Regions from separate parts of the Mus musculus genome. Here all the other regions are reported to be linked to region 1. The links are microRNA targets in miRTarBase. Many come from high-throughput screens and were not tested one by one. Region 1 holds a microRNA gene; each other region holds the end of a gene's coding sequence.
The links. Region 1 holds the annotated microRNA mmu-miR-24-3p (UGGCUCAGUUCAGCAGGAACAG, at 1,731-1,752, shown strand). A microRNA usually pairs through its seed, bases 2 to 8, with sites in the 3' UTR of a target mRNA and lowers its output. Matches are read on the target gene's strand: a 7mer-m8 pairs with bases 2 to 8, a 7mer-A1 pairs with bases 2 to 7 and ends in A, and an 8mer does both.

Region 2: the mRNA of Mllt11 is a reported target of mmu-miR-24-3p. Seed matches in the 3' UTR shown: 7mer-A1 at 1,494-1,500.
Region 3: the mRNA of Tcaf1 is a reported target of mmu-miR-24-3p. The part of its 3' UTR that is shown has no 7-base or 8-base seed match.
Region 4: miRTarBase lists Ccser2 as a target of mmu-miR-24-3p. Seed matches in the 3' UTR shown: 7mer-A1 at 390-396.
Region 5: miRTarBase lists Tmem69 as a target of mmu-miR-24-3p. Seed matches in the 3' UTR shown: 7mer-A1 at 538-544 and 8mer at 606-613.

What each region holds. Positions count from the first base shown.
Region 1 is chr8:84,207,145-84,210,265 of GRCm38, forward strand. It overlaps Mir24-2 (microRNA 24-2), which reads left to right and starts at 1,671; the gene lies at 1,671-1,777. It overlaps Mir23a (microRNA 23a), which reads left to right and starts at 1,374; the gene lies at 1,374-1,448. It overlaps Mir27a (microRNA 27a), which reads left to right and starts at 1,528; the gene lies at 1,528-1,614. Mir3074-2 (microRNA 3074-2) reads right to left here and starts at 1,763; the gene lies at 1,681-1,763.
Region 2 is chr3:95,217,344-95,220,418 of GRCm38, reverse strand. It overlaps Mllt11 (myeloid/lymphoid or mixed-lineage leukemia; translocated to, 11), which reads left to right. Exons shown (of 2, transcript NM_019914.4): 2 at 1-1,875. The coding sequence ends at 234. Gabpb2 (GA repeat binding protein, beta 2) reads left to right here and starts at 2,477. Exons shown (of 10, transcript NM_029885.1): 1 at 2,477-2,830. It overlaps Gm16740 (predicted gene, 16740), which reads right to left and starts at 2,962. Exons shown (of 4, transcript NR_108026.1): 1 at 2,361-2,962; 2 at 870-980.
Region 3 is chr6:42,670,586-42,673,660 of GRCm38, reverse strand. It overlaps Tcaf1 (TRPM8 channel-associated factor 1), which reads left to right. Exons shown (of 9, transcript NM_001355769.1): 8 at 23-308. The coding sequence ends at 286. Among named protein-coding and RNA genes, the nearest start is that of Tcaf2, 27 kb to the right of the region's middle.
Region 4 is chr14:36,876,840-36,879,914 of GRCm38, forward strand. Ccser2 (coiled-coil serine rich 2) reads right to left here. Exons shown (of 11, transcript NM_027045.1): 11 at 1-2,923. The coding sequence ends at 2,829. Among named protein-coding and RNA genes, the nearest start is that of Ccser2, 90 kb to the right of the region's middle.
Region 5 is chr4:116,550,304-116,553,378 of GRCm38, reverse strand. It overlaps Tmem69 (transmembrane protein 69), which reads left to right. Exons shown (of 3, transcript NM_177670.4): 3 at 1-1,851. The coding sequence ends at 345. Among named protein-coding and RNA genes, the nearest start is that of Tmem69, 4.1 kb to the left of the region's middle.

The DNA.
Region 1 (3,121 bases):
TGGTACCCACAGGGGCCAGTGGGGAGCGTTGGAGCTCTTGGGAATGGAGCTATAGATAGCTGTGCTTGTCATGTAGGTTCTGGGAAAGAAACCTGTCATCTCTCCAACATTGAAATTCTTTAAACAATTTTTAAAAATTGTGTGTGTGTGTTCCCAAGTGCAGAGATCAGAGGACAACTTGCAAGGGTCCGTATGCTTTTCTTCTTCGTGGTTCTTGGGTTTGAGCTCAGGGCATTGGGCTCCATAGCAGCTCTGCTCACTTGCTGGATCAGCTTGCTGGCCCCTGAAAACTTTAACTGGCACGCAGGACACTACTCTACATTGGGTAGGCCCCAAATTTTGTGGCTTGCCCTGGTACTGGGTGCTAAATACCTTCTCTGTAAGTTTTCACTGGCCTTCCTAGTAGAAGGTTTGGGGTTTTGTTGTTTTATTTTTGTTTTTCTTCTATTTAAGACTAGGGTCTCAAACTGTAGCCCAGTTAGGCCTAAAACTCATCATGTAGCTTAAGCAGGCTTTTGACTCCATTCTTGGCAACCTTCCTGCCTCAGTTTCCTCAATGCTGAGATAAACGTGAGCCACCAACTGCAACTGTTGTAGTCTGCTTTACAGATGGGGAAACTGAGGCTTGGAAGGCCTAGGGGAAACTTTACTGAGGTGTTATTGTTGGGGTGCATCGGCCTGCTTCTCCTTGCTTGGGCCCTAGGTGGTGTGGGGTGGGGGTGGGGTTATGTCTGAGCTGGCTGGGGAGGAGAGGGCTGAGGTGGGAGGCCCTGGAGTTTCCTCCTGCCCTTCAGGCTTCTAGGAAGTGGCGCCAGCTGGGGTGAGGTCACTTCCTCCCTCCAACCGTCCACCTCCCTCAGCTTCCTCTCCATGGCCCCATTTGGCCTGCTTTGGGCTCAGGGCTGTGGGTGGGGATAGAAGCAGAGTGGGAAGCAGCTGGGAAGGCTCTGCAGCCCCTTTGGCCTTAGGGCTTCAGGCACCTCCCGCTTTGTAGGGCTGGGGTAGAGGCACTGCTGGGTGCCCAGCATCCAGCAGCCTCGCTCCAACCTTCCTACGGATCGATGCTCCTCTTTTTTGGGAATGCTTCTTCCCTCTTGGAAGTAGAGGAGGGCTAGGGTGTGGATCAGCAAGCTGAGTTTAGATTCTGTCCCCAGCACCACTTAAACTGTGTGTGGTGAGGTGTACCTATAATCCTAGACTCCAGAGGTAGAGGCAGGAAGAACTGGTGCATTCGGAAACCTTGTGTTCAGCTATGTGAGACCCAGCCTGGTCAAGATAGGCAGGCAAGCAAGAATGCTCCAATCTCACTGTCTCTTCTTTCTCTCTTTAGGTGCTACACTCCGCTCCCACCTGCTGCCCCCCTCACTGTGCCTCGGACGGCTGGGGTTCCTGGGGATGGGATTTGATGCCAGTCACAAATCACATTGCCAGGGATTTCCAACTGACCCTGTGCTCTGCCTTGGGGGCTCCTGTCGCCAAGGATGTCTGTCTTGGGTACTGGGTAACAGAGAAGCCTATCATGACAACTGGCCTGAGGAGCAGGGCTTAGCTGCTTGTGAGCAAGGTCCACAGCAAAGTCGTGTTCACAGTGGCTAAGTTCCGCCCCCTGGACCCCATCTCCTCAGGCCGCTGCTGCCCACCCTGCTCTGCCTCCTGGCTGGCAGGGCTCTGCCTCTCTCCGGGCTCCGCCTCCCGTGCCTACTGAGCTGAAACAGTTGATTCCAGTGCACTGGCTCAGTTCAGCAGGAACAGGAGTCCAGCCCCCTAGGAGCTGGCAACCCTGCAGAATGTCTGCCGTGAGCAAGACCTGGAAACAATGGGGTAATTAGTCCAACCTAAGCCCCGTTGTCTGCTGGAGGCTCAGCCTCTAAGCCTGCATCTGGGTGTCCACCTTGAGATTTCTGTGGTTCCCCAAAGCAGATAGATGGGCGGGTAACCCTTGCATTAAAAGCCAGTTATGTCCCCTCAGGGCCTGGAAGCCCTTCTTTTCCTAAGTCTGGTGGGGCTCAGGCACCACCCCTTATACATACCATCTTTGAAGTCAGTTACCCAAGAGGAAGCTGCTTTAGGCCCTCTAACGGTTAAATGCCAACTCTCTGCTTCCGGAAGAAGGCACTGACCTGATCCAGTGTGCCTAGCAATCCCATGGGGTCTGCAGCTTTCTGCTGGTGACAGCGAGGCAGGGAGCGAGGTCCACACAGGCCTCAGGATATGAACAGATCCATGCCCCCCCCCCCCATTGGCCTGTTGAAGTAATCTCCAGGCTTGGAAGTTAAAAAGTTGCCTACTACCCACAAATGAGACTGCATGCAGACTAATTGGAACTGGCTGAGTTACACTTCCCAGACCATACAGTGTCCTCTCCCTACTCTGGGCAGGGGCAAATCGAAGCCTGGGTGGAAGAACAGAGTTGAAAGCTTGTATTGAATGTTGTTCTCCAACTAAATAAAAGCTCCACAGCCTCATTCCGTAAGGGCTGACGTCTCTTCATTCCCGCCTCCCACATGTGTGTTGCTGGCTTTTTTCATTTCTCTTGAAACAGCATTTCTGTGTAGACCAGGCTGACCTTGAATCAAACTCCTCCAGTGTCTGGAGTTTGGGAATACCAGCTGCACCACTATATCTACCACACCCTGGGCTCCTAACCTGCATTGCACCTATCCCCAACCTTGCTCCACCTGCTTCTAGGAAGGTGTAAATATAGTTCTGTGGTCAGTAGGTGCTGCGACCTGAAGATCCTGGGATCCTTTGGGGATGGCTTGAACGGGAGGGATAACCCAGACCTGGGGTGTATGAGACCAATCTGTGGTCACCCCAGTTCCATGAGGGAGTATGTTACAAGAATGTACTCTGCCTATGCTGGGATGCACTGACTGGCAAGATGCCAGGGCTTAAGGACGGGCACATATGCGCGCACAGACAGACACGCGCGCATGCACACACACACACACACACACACACACAGGGCTTAAGGACGGGCACATATGCGAGCACAGACAGACACGCGCGCATGCACACACACACGCACGCGCGCGCGCCCGTCTACACACACACACACACACACACACACACACACACACACGCACGCACGCACGCACGCGCGCGCGCCCGTCTGCGCCAG
Region 2 (3,075 bases), not on the chromosome of region 1:
TTCTGGAGGATGCCCATCCCAGAACTGGATCTGTCGGAGCTGGAAGGCCTGGGCCTGTCAGATACACCTACCTACGAGAGCAAGGATAGCAGCAGCGTTGGCAAAATGAACGGGCAGGCATCTGGGACGGAGCAGAAGAACCCTGAAGGTGACCCCCTCCTTGAGTACAGCACCTTCAACTTCTGGAGAGCGCCTATTGCCAGCATCCACTCTGTCGACCTGGACTTGCTTTAAGGCCAAGATCTCTCTCCCACCCCGTACCTTCATTATCTTCCCTCTTAAGTCCCTTCCTCTCTAAGCCTTCCACTTTAATCTTGTTCTCTTCCCTCTATTGTGCTGGTGGTGCTGATGAATCTGCCAATTGAATTGTAGGTTTGTATGTATGTACGTACTTATTTATCTATCTATATTTATTTATTTATTTATTTATCTGCCTACTCCGTTTCTCTCAAAAGCCCTCTAGGCACAAAGTCAAGGGTTTAATCAATGGAGTACTAGATCATAGGATTTCCTCCCGTCAGCCCGGAGAATATTAACTAATCCCAGAAAAGAATCACCCTTATTTGAGGCACCACAGAGAGGTACAGTTGTGCAAAATGGGAGACCAATTATTTTGTTTGTTTGTTACATTTTAATCAACTTCAAAGATTACTTGAGCCTCCCTAATGTCCTCTACCAGGCCAGTAAGCAAATACTGCTTCAAGAAGTAATGAGAACCTGGAAGTTTTGAGACACTTTCTACAAAACAGGATTTCTAAAAGGCTAAGATAAGAAATGCTGCTGCTGCTTACAATGCATTCTCTTCCCCAGAAACACGCAGGCAGTTAAAGGTGGGAAACAAAGGAGTGGGATGAGGAAAAACATCGCACCGTTTCAGAGGTAGCTCCTTTAATATCCAGCTCTGCTTCCAGCTGTGGGTAGAAATGCTCAGAAAATCAGATTTGAGTCTTCACAGGGAAACTTCACTATGAGGATAATTCCTAAAAGACAAAAGATGTATCTGATCTAAAGAAACACCAGAGTATTATTAGGGGAATTTATATAAAATTGTGATTTTGTCATGGAACAGGCAGATGTTTTGGTCCTAAGTATTTTAGCTTTGCCTTTCTGTAGTTGCAGTATGTGATAGGAATCAGTGATTCCTGACACAGTTCTTTGGCCGCCATAAGACCGTGAAGTAAGCAGTTATGTTCAGACCCTACCCGTCCCCATTCCTTCCAAAGCTATTGCAGATGAATTGCGGAGCTGTTTATTCATTTATGGAATAAAGACGTTAAATCCTAAGTCTGGGGCTTAGTTTTTTCCATTCCAATGAAGTACTACAGATTTTACTCACACTTCCGAATCCAGCTTTCCCTTTTATCTTTTTTTCTTTCTTTTTTTTTTTAAGTGAAGCTTTTCTTTTTATTTTAAAAAGATTTACTATACTATATATGAGTACACTGTTGCACTCTTCAGACACACCAGAAGAGGGCATTGGGTCCCATTACAAGTGAGCCAACATGTGGTTGGTGGGGATTGAACTCAGGACCTCTGGAAGAGCAGTCAGTGCTCTTAACCACTGAGTCATCTCTCCAGCGCTTCCTTCTGTCTGTCTAATATTTGACTTTGAAGAACAATTTAGGATTTGGACATAGCTCAATGGTAGAAGGGCTTGCCAAGCATCTACAAGGCCCTGCTAGGGTTCCCCTGTAAGCAGCCAGTGCTCAGAGATTAGCCACGCCCCCCAGCCCATTATTAACTTTTAAATTTGTGTGGTTTTCTTCGGAGGCGGGCCTTGAACTCAGAGAAATCCACCTGACTCTGCTGGACTCTGCTAGGGTGGGCCTAGCACTTTGGTATTAAATTAGGAGACCTGTGCCTCCTGCTGTGATCAAAGGCGTGTTTGTTATTATTACTGATTTTAATTTTTAGTGTGCATTGGTGTTTTGCCTAAATGTATGCTTGCTTGTGTGAGGGTGTCAGATCTTGGAGTTAAAGGCAGTTGTAAGCTGCAATGTGGGTGCTGGGAATTGAACTGGGGTCTCCTAAGGCATTGCTCCAGCGTCCTGTTATTGATTTTTGAAAGGTTTTCTCCGAGCTTTCTCTCGGTCCTTATATCAGTTAAAATGGTGAACAGAAACCAAGATAGACTGGTAAATGAAAGACATGCAATTTCATGTCCCATCCTATTCTAGTCTTCCCCCCAAAAGTTCAGGGGTTCTTTCCTGACCTATATTCAGGACACTGGGAAAGTGTCCGGTCAGACAGGAGTGCATAACCAGAAGGTCCCGAATAGCGGAAGCAAGATTCTCCCCCAACCCTCAAGTTAGCCCGGCGTTGAACCAGCAGGAAGGTAGAGTGCGGACGCCAACACGCACCAGTAACCAGTTCCTCCGAGCGCTGCACTGGTTGGCGCCAAAACTACCATCTGCGTCCGTCCCCTGCCGGAACTATCCCTCACGTAAGCCACGTAATCGGTGATCCTGCGCCTCGCTAAGTAGTCCCGCTCAGGATGCCCGCGGTATACGTTTTTCCAGCTCACGAGGTCCTCAGTAGGAAGGAGTCGGACTCAGAGGTGCGTTGAGGTCCTGAGAGAAGGGCAAAGTGGCTCCGCTAACCCATTTCCTTCAGATTCCTCCGCCAGGACGTATAGTCACAGCGCCTTCACTTCCGGGTCCGCCATTTTATTGCCTCCATTTCTCCGTGAGGGGGGGTAAGGGCCCCCCCAAATATGCATATGTGAAAAGGCCGAAAAGTGAGGCCGCTGGCAAGGAGTCTTAACTAGAGAAAGAAACGGGACCAAACTGGCGGGCCCAGTGAGAGCGAAGCCGGCAGCGCTCCGGAATAGGTGAGGGGGAAAGGACACGCAGGGTTCCGGAGCTTCCGAACTGCGATGCAAGGGGCAGTGATAAGTGGCCGGCCCAGCCCGGCCAGGACCTGTGGGCGCCGGCCTGCACACTGCCGGAGCGGGGGTGGCGGCGGGGGGGAGAGGGACCAAGAGGAAGGGGATGCTGTCGGGAGGAAGGGGAGGGGACTGGGAGGTGAAGGGGGTGGGTGGAAGACCTGGGGCTGGGGAGCTGGACTCCGGGAAGC
Region 3 (3,075 bases), not on the chromosome of region 1:
ACTTCCAACTTTCCCTTTCTAGCTCCAAGAGGCCTTTGGTTGGGAGCCATTTATTCGTCTCTTCACCGAGTACAGAAACCAGACAACATCGAGCTCGCCGCCCTCAGACAACGTCGACAAAATGAATCTATGGGTCAAGATGTTCTCCCAGCAAGTGCAGAGGAATCTGGCTCCATTCTTTGAGGCCTGGGGCTGGCCTATCCAGAAGGAAGTGGCTACAAGCTTAGCCTATCTGCCCGAATGGAAAGAGAATATAATGAAATTGTACCTCCTCACACAGATGTAAGGAGTGCCCATCGAGGTGGCAGGTAGAGAGGCTTGGGGTGGTAGGCAGAGATGGGGGTTTACTCCTCTACCTCTGTCTTCTAAAGTTCTGGCTTTCTCCTTTTAATTCATTGCTCCTGTGTCTTATTACCGACTTCTGTCTCTAGGAAGTGGGTTAAAAACACAGCACAAAATGAAGCCAGAATTTCTTAGGAACGAGGTCTGTGCTTATGAGCCCGACCCCTCTGCTTCTCAGTTGTCAGGTACCCTGCTGACCCTGTATTGGCCTAGTGCTGGGAGCTTGGGAATTTGTTTCTATCCAGCCTTCTTGATGAGCCATAGAGGGCAATCCTTCCCTTGGCTTCCTTGGCTTCGGGATAGATATAAAAGTCTCTGCTTCTTGTGGTGGACATGGAGAGTCTGGCTGATGGTTTTAAAGAAGCTTGTGGACTTTATGGTGTATGCCAATGGAAGGGTTCTTCCACTTCATGCTGGATTATTAGCTCCCACAGCTCAGAAGTTCACATCAGCCTTTCTCTTAGACTCCTTCTGCCCAAATTCTAGGTCTTTAATTGACCATTTGTATGTTACCAGCAAGAACCTTGCCTTCTCCATGACTCTATGGCCTCATTCTATACATTGGGATCTATTTCATATGGGTTTTTGGAGTTGTACAGTGCCTCTAAAAGTGATTACAGAGGCTAGTGGGTATTGAGAAAACATCATTTGTCATTTTTGTTATTTAACCCAACAACATTCTGGACCTAAACTTTTATTTTAGATACTATAAACAGATAGTCATAAACTTTTAATTTTTCAACTGATAAATATAAAGCTCACATCTATTAGCAAGATACCATTCAATATGGATATATATTTTTAATACTTGAATTAGGCAAAGCATATCTGTCTCCTCCAATATCTATCATTTCTCCAGACCAAGCACATTCACAATCATTTGTTATTGTTTTTGTTTTTGTTTTTGTTTTTGTTTTGTTTTGTTTTGTTTTGTTTTGTTTTTAAATACACAGTACATAACTGTTATGGAGTGCCAGAGAGAGGGCTCAGTGTGTAAAGACACTTGCCACCAAGACCTCAAACATGAGTTCAATCCTCAGAACTGGAAAAGTGGAAGAAGAGACCTAACTCTTGCATGTTGTCCTCTGACCTCCACAAGTGGTCTGTGATCCATTCACAAACACACTAAATCAACTTAAAAGAAGGAACTGCTATCTGCCCTACCCTATCCTGTATGATACTTTTCACCCTCTAAAGTAATTCTGGTACATTGTTTTATGAATCTAAAGGAAGGATTCTAAACTTACATTGGAGTATTTTCCTGGCTGCTTGAGACAATGCCTCTCTGTGATAGGTAGGGCTTTTTTACTTCAAAAGCAATGCTCTTTCATTCTTGCCATTAAGAGCTGTGTTACAGGTGTGCACAGCCACACCCGAGTTCACAATGTAGGCCTTTTCCTTTTATCTTTTACAGCTACTTAGATATGGCCTCTTTACCTAGTTCTTTCAGCTTAAATTCCCACTTTGATAAAATCCAGAGAAGAGATTTTCACAAAAACTAGAACAATCCTAAGATAAGTGTTTAACCATCAATAGACATTTTTTAGAAAACAATAGACACCCAGCTTTTAAATGGTATTTATATTCCCATAGTGAGATATTTAAGATATAATTGCTGTGGGGGTTTATTGACTATACATATATAAAAACTTCAGTTTGGGACAAGAAATTCCACAGAGCTAACACAACTTTTATTTAATTGCTATACATTCAAAGATCTCTTGGTTTTCCCCCATTTCATTTCAAGTTTCTTTTATGAGTTTTAATTAATGTTATATCTAAGATTGATGTTGTACACAACTGGCTTTCTGATTTCTTTTTTTTAATTTATTTTAGTATAATCTGTTTTATTTACATAGCTTGTAAGTGGGTGAATGCAGAGACTATAAGACATTTATGTGTGTGTTTGTGTATGTGTGTGTGTGTGTGTCTTTATTGTACAAATTCTTAATCCTATATTTATTTCATATTTATATATACATATATATGTATCATATAGGGATTTTAAATATCTTTAAAATAATTATTATCAATTATCACATATTGATAATATGTGTATGTGCCAGGCATTATATTGGTCCCTATATATAGGCTATGCTATTTAATTGTCCCAATAGTCTTATGAAGTAGAAATTATTATTACTCTTATTTTAGGATAAAAGAGCTGACTTTTATGGAGATTAAGTAAATTATGTAAGACTCTACTGCTAATAATGATAGGCCTATGATTATGAAGCCATGCACTATGATTGCAGAATGGGTATTAATAATTATAGTGCTTCAAATAACCAAATAAAAAACCAAATCAACAACACAGAACATTTATACTCCTGCTTGCCAGAGTCTGGGCTCTTTATACTTAGCCTCTATCTAACCTTAGCAGGACAAAAAGACTCTCTGTTTCTCCCAAACATCAGTAGACAGGAAGAATTTAAATCAGGCTCCTAAAGTGCTTCCAGTACAAAAGAGTGAGCCATTAGCATCAGGCGACTCTTCTAGGTTCTGATTATTTAGATTGTCATTCTCCCTTGGGTACCATAAAAGCAATTTTTGGTTTATTAGATTTTAAATAATGTAGCTTATTATTGAAGTCCCTGACTTCCCAAAGTCCTAGATGCTTCATTTTCTCAGAAAGACAATAAGATCTTTAATCTTTTTTTCTCTTTTTATTTTTTATTAGATATTTTCTTCATTTACATTTCAAATGCTATCCCCAAAGCCCCCTATAACCCC
Region 4 (3,075 bases), not on the chromosome of region 1:
TTAAGACTAAGGCCCAACAAAGGTATAGAGAGGGTGAACTGCTGGATAAATATTTCTACAAATTTATCAGGGAGAAAAAATTAAAGTAGGCCAAAGATTAGAATAAAGAAATTATTGGAGTCAACACTGTAACAAAACAGACAACAAAGACATTTCCCTCAGACAAGTGGGTTATAAATAAATTTTAAAAAACTTTCCTTCAAGGATAAACCAATTTGTAGAAGTATTCCATAAAGTCTATAAAAGTCTCTAATTAAAAAAACAAAACCCTAATACATTAATTAGTATGTTCTATTGCAGGGCATAGAGTATGATTGTAGCTGATGTGCGATACATGAGATTCGTTTTCATTCTCCGTAAGGAGAAAGCATATACCCCTGTAGCCAACCTGGCTCACTGTCATGAAGGAAGAATAAGTGCTTTTGCCACAGCAGCAATGACCCAGTACCGTCTAACCCATGCACAGCCTGTCCTGAGCTTCCTCTGACTAACGTGCTGTGGTGTGAGACTATGCTCGTCTGTTCCCAAACTGGAAAAAGGTCTGCCTCTCCAAAAGACAAATCCACATGAGGGGTTCTGACATTTAAGGGAAGACTGCCGCCCCCCCAAACCGCAGCAAATGTGACTTTGTAACTTTGCACTAATGCACTTGATACCACGTTTCTCTTTGTAACCTAGATACATTTAAAAAGGAAGCCATAGACATTTAATTTTTTTGGCCATAATTCCTTTTGATGCATTTTTGGTCAGCTAATCAGATACTGATCTTGTAAGGTTATCTTTCTGAGAAATCTTACTATGAATTAAACAAATTATGACCAGCCTAAAGATGGCATGATTTGGGCAAACATGAGGTAAATTCACTCAACTGCTTGTGAAGTTGCCAGAAGCCCAGCTGGGTTCCTGTACATGGTCACTTGGAGGCCCACAGCCACATCTAGAACAATCTCTCTTAACCCACAGCTACCTTCCATAGGACATCTGGAGCAATCTCTCTTAAGAAAGTATTCTTTCCTACCTACAACTTAATTTCCCCCAAATCTACTTTTCAAGAAACTGTCATTCAACCTTCCACCAACAGAAAAGAGAAACTTAGGAAACCCAAAAAGTGACTTATGATAGTCTTAAATTTATATATTTCTCTTAAAGTGTTTTAACTCATTTTTTATAGAAAATAAGCTTTAAAACCCTCTTTTATATCTCATCAAAATTTTGTGCAAATATTTCAAGTCCATTATTCTAGTCTTCAGACACTAGGAAAAAGTCAATAAATACAAATATTATTATAATTTTAAATTTCCAATGTATGTTATGGAAACTTGAAAGTATGATGGATCCATAAGTTAATAAGATTCAAAACTCAATTACCAGCACAAAACTCTAGCACCAACAGAGTTTACAACTGATATGCCATAGGCATCTCCAGCTCTCCAAATCTACCCAGTAGCAATATAAGCAAAGAGTAAATGTGTACGTAAAACAAGATGTTACAGCAACATATAACTGGTTTACATAAAATATGACAACTGTCAGCATGGGAATTTGTCTGATAAATGGAGAAGCAGTAGGACTAGATTACTGATCCTAGAAAGGAGAGATGAAACTACTAAGGACTCCCCCACTAAAAGCCTGGTCTTTCCTCACTGGGGACCTTTTGCATAGACTTCCTAAATACACAAAACCTGGCCAGAACCCTGCTTACAGACAGCTACCTTCCACCGTCACTTTGAATCTTTAGTTAAAATAGCAGCCATACTCACAAGAAGAATAAGCATCGGGGTGAGATTCTGATAACCACAACAGGACTACATCAGCCAAGTACACATCCTGCCTGATACATGGAATATTTTGACTTTTCTGGTATGTAGAGAGAAGGCTGGATAGCATGAGGAGGGACTTGGGCCTCTGAGATGGATAAGTAAACTTGTGTTTACCTGAGACAAGTATGTGCAAATGGTATGTAATTCAGCCAGGATACAAAATGGAAGAACCAAACTAATAGAAGCTTCTGCATTTTAATTTTAAGATTTGCTGAAATGGAACCTCCAACATAGTAATAAGCTGCACATAAAGCTATTAGAGAGCAGACTGTTTTCAAAAAACAAATTGGCAGGTGATGGCTATGCACTTAATGTATCTTTGGTTTAGGAAGACGAGAATATCGATTAGAGGCCACACAATCCCCAGAATGCAAACCGCTGTGTGGAGCATGCAGCTCTTTTGGCCGTGCTAATGGCCTTGGGATGCTTGTCTTGGCCTGGAAGTTCTGAGGCTCTACTTGGGGGTTACTTATTTGTTTTTGCTTGAAAGAGCCAGAAGGGGGACGGAGTTTAGACGTTTTCAGATTCAAATGATTTGCAGGATTGTTTTGATTCGATGTTGGCTGATGTTTTGAATGGCATGGTGTGATTCCTGGTGCCTTCTTACATGTGGAAGTTCTACTTGGTGAGGAGTCAGAATCTGGAGGAGGTGTCAAAGAACTCAAGTTGGATGGCTTTAAAAGCTGCAAGGACTTGGGCTGAGGACATTGGTTTCTTCCACCCCTCTTAGTCTGGTCCACTGTACTTGACTGGGAAGGGGTCTGAGGAGGAGGAGTTACAAACTGCAAGTCACTAGGTTTTTTCTCTGCCAAATGATGAGGCTCTTGAGCATCCAGAGTCATGCTCAGGTCCGTTTCAGAAGGTATGTACTTCACCACATCCACTGTCAACTGCGGGCTTGACGAAGAAGGACGCTCTTGCAAACCACGGCTGTTGTCCTGTTGCAAGCCATGTGTACAGCTTCCATCTGGATGCGCACCACCCGGACACACGCCTTGAACTGTGTAGTCACTGTGGGCCTCGGTACGTTGTGGCTTTATTAGTTTTCCCTGGGCGTGGTCTGTAGATCTGGGAAGGCTGCTGGAAGGCTGTAGTACTTGAGGCTGTTAAAATTTAAAAACATCACCAATAATTTATATTAAAAATTTACCAAGAATTAATACAAGTTTAATTATAATTAGGCAAAATTGCCACTTATACTTTAATATGGAAAATATATGATTTTTTAAAGAATGAATTGCAATATCCAAGCAAA
Region 5 (3,075 bases), not on the chromosome of region 1:
TATGGAGCCGGTTTCCTAGCTTTCTTGGGAGGGATCAGATGGGGTTTTGTTCTGCCAGAAAGTAGTCCAGCCAAACCAGACTACATTAATTTAGCTAGCAGTATGAGTCCTATTCTGTTTTCATGGGCAGCCATCCTATTTTCTGAAAGACTCAATGAAGCCATAGTCACATTAATAATAGGTTTAGGGATAGCATTACACAATGAACTTTTCCTCTTACCACATTATCCCAACTGGTTCAAAGCCTTAAGGATTGTAAGTACTTTAGTGGCTTTTATCTCATTTGTAGTCACTTTAATACTTGAAAATATTTATCCAGAAAAAGGGCCCAAGAGACCCGATTAAATAGAAATATAAAAATACTTTCTTGGTATTATTTACAGTGTCTGTGGAGGCCAGAAGACTGTTGAATCCCCTGAAGCTAGCTTTTTTTTTTTGTTTTGTTTTGAAGAAATATTTGTTTATTTTATATGAGTACACTGTAGCTGTCTTCAAACACACCAGAGGTGGGCATCAGATGCCCATTGCAGATGGTTGTGAGCCACCATGTGGTTGCTGGGAATTGAACTCAGGACCTCTGGAAGAGCAGTCAGTGCTCTTAACCACTGAGCCATCTCTCCAGAGACCCCTGGAGCTAGCTTTACAGACAGTTCTGAGCTACTCAATATCTAGGCTGGGAGCTAAACTTGGGTCTAGAGCAGTACATAGTCTTGAGCATTGAGCCTGTATCTCTTATCCTGTAAAGCTGCATTTTAGCATCACAATTATGTTCCTCCTTTGGCTCCTTCCTCCCCACCCCCACCCCCCCACAGGTAGGAATTTATTCTTCATACATAGTTTTTGTTTTTGTTTTCTAAAGAGTATTTCTTTTAGCCAGATGGCGGTAGTACACACCTTTTATCCTAGAAGAAAGGAGGCAGAGGCAGGTGGATCTCTGAGTTCGAGGCCAGCCTGGTCTATAAAGAGAGTTTCAGGAGAGCCAAGGCTACACAGAGAAACCCTGTCTCAAAAAGTTACAGATATCCACCTGCCTTTGCCTCCTGAGTGTTGGGATTATAAAAATTATTTCAGGGCTGGTGAGATGGCTCAGTGGGTAAGAGCACCCGACTGCTCTTCCGAAGGTCCAGAGTTCAAATCCCAGCAACCACATGGTGGCTCACAACCATCTGTAACGAGATCTGATTCCCTCTTCTGGAGTGTCTGAAGACAGCTACAATGTACTTACATATAATAAATAAATAAATCTTTAAAAAAAAAAAATTATTTCAAAGTAACTTATTTTGAAAAATGTCCTAATCCTTATTATGTCATATAAGGTTAGTTTACATTTTTGTGTGTCTGTGAATTGTATAGTCATGTACCTAAACATTTCAGTGTTTTGATTATACTGAGAAAAGTAAAAGATGAAAAATCCTGTATTAGAATCTAGCAATCATGAAGTCATATTTCATGAAAAGAATCCTACTTGTGGTTTGAAGAGATTTGGCTCCCATAGACTCATGTGTTTGAATCTGTTTGGCCCAGAGAGTGGCACTATTAGATGTGTGGCCTTGTTGGAGGATGTGTCACTGTGGGGGTAGGCTTTGAGACCCTCCTCCTAGCTGCCCTGAAGACAGTCTTCTCCTGGTTGCCTTTGGTACAAGATGTAGGACTCTCAGCAGTGCCAGTGCTGCCATGCTCCTGCCTTGATGATAATGAACTGAACCTCTGAACCTGTAAGCCAGCCCCAATTAAATGTTGTCCTTTATAAGAGTTGCCTTGGTCATGGTGTCTCCTCACAGCGATGGGAATCTAAGGCACTACTAAGAACCTTAAAAATAAAAGTATTGCTGTCAAGTTTTTTTAGCACTTCTGGATTGTCTAAGCCTTTGTTTCTTTTGTTTGTTTGTTTGTTTTTTTGAGACAGGGCCTTACTATGTAGCTCTGGCTTTACTGAAACTCACTATGTAGGCCATGGTAGCCTGGAGCATATAGACGTCTGCCTGTCTTTGTTTCTAACGTGCTAGAATTAAAGGCGTGTGGCATGACACCTGGTTTGTCTAAGTGTATTTTACCTGACATAACTTAGTTTTATGAAGTGAAATGACCTGTGGCTCTCAAGGTGGTAGGCAATAGTGGAATAAGGAAAGCCACTCACAGAAAGGCTGTTCACATGTCTAAGCTTTTGTTTGGTGTTTTCTGACCACATTTAACCTACAGAAGCTTTTAAAATAATAGCAAAAGGGCTAGAGACATACATGGCTTAGTGGTTGAGAGCACCCCCTTCTCTGCTAGAGAAACCATGTTCAATTGTCAGTACCTGCACTGTGCTAACAAGTTCTTGGGGTTTGGATGTGGCCTTCTTGGGCACAAGACAAGTATGTGGTACATAGACATATATTCAGATAAAATACTCATATACACTAAAATAAAAATTTTCAAATATTAAAACATGATCAGGCATTGTAAACTACATAGATCAGCGTTATATACTTAGCAAGTTCCAGGACAGCCAGTACTACACAGAGAAATAAATTAAACAATGGCAAAAAGCATTGCTTGGTTTGCTTTCCCTCCTCCCATAGTAGTATGGCTTGAACCTAGTGCCTCCTACATTCTGTACAAGCACAGCTACTGAGCAATATACGAACAGGCCAACAATTCAGATTTTAACTTGAAAACCTAGTCTGGGGGCTTGGGAATGTGGCTTGGTGGATAAAATACTTGCTTATCATGCAAAGCCCTCAGTTTGCTCTCCAGTACCCCACAGGCTGGGAGTGATAACACAAGTGTTCAATCCTAGCACTTAGGAGGTCAAGGCAGGAGGATCAGAGATTATGTTGTGTAACTGTAAATCAAAGGAAATTATTTTTGAATGTTATATCTTTGATATAAGCAGTCAAACACCACTTTACAAGTTGTATGAGTAAATTATACACACACACACACACACACACACACACACACACACACACACACGTTTTCTCTTCTACTAATTCCTACTATGAGAATAACTATCAAGATAGTGACTGTGCTTTTCAGATGTTTTCAGTGTTACACTAGAGTAAGAGTATTTTTATTCCAGACGATGATTGA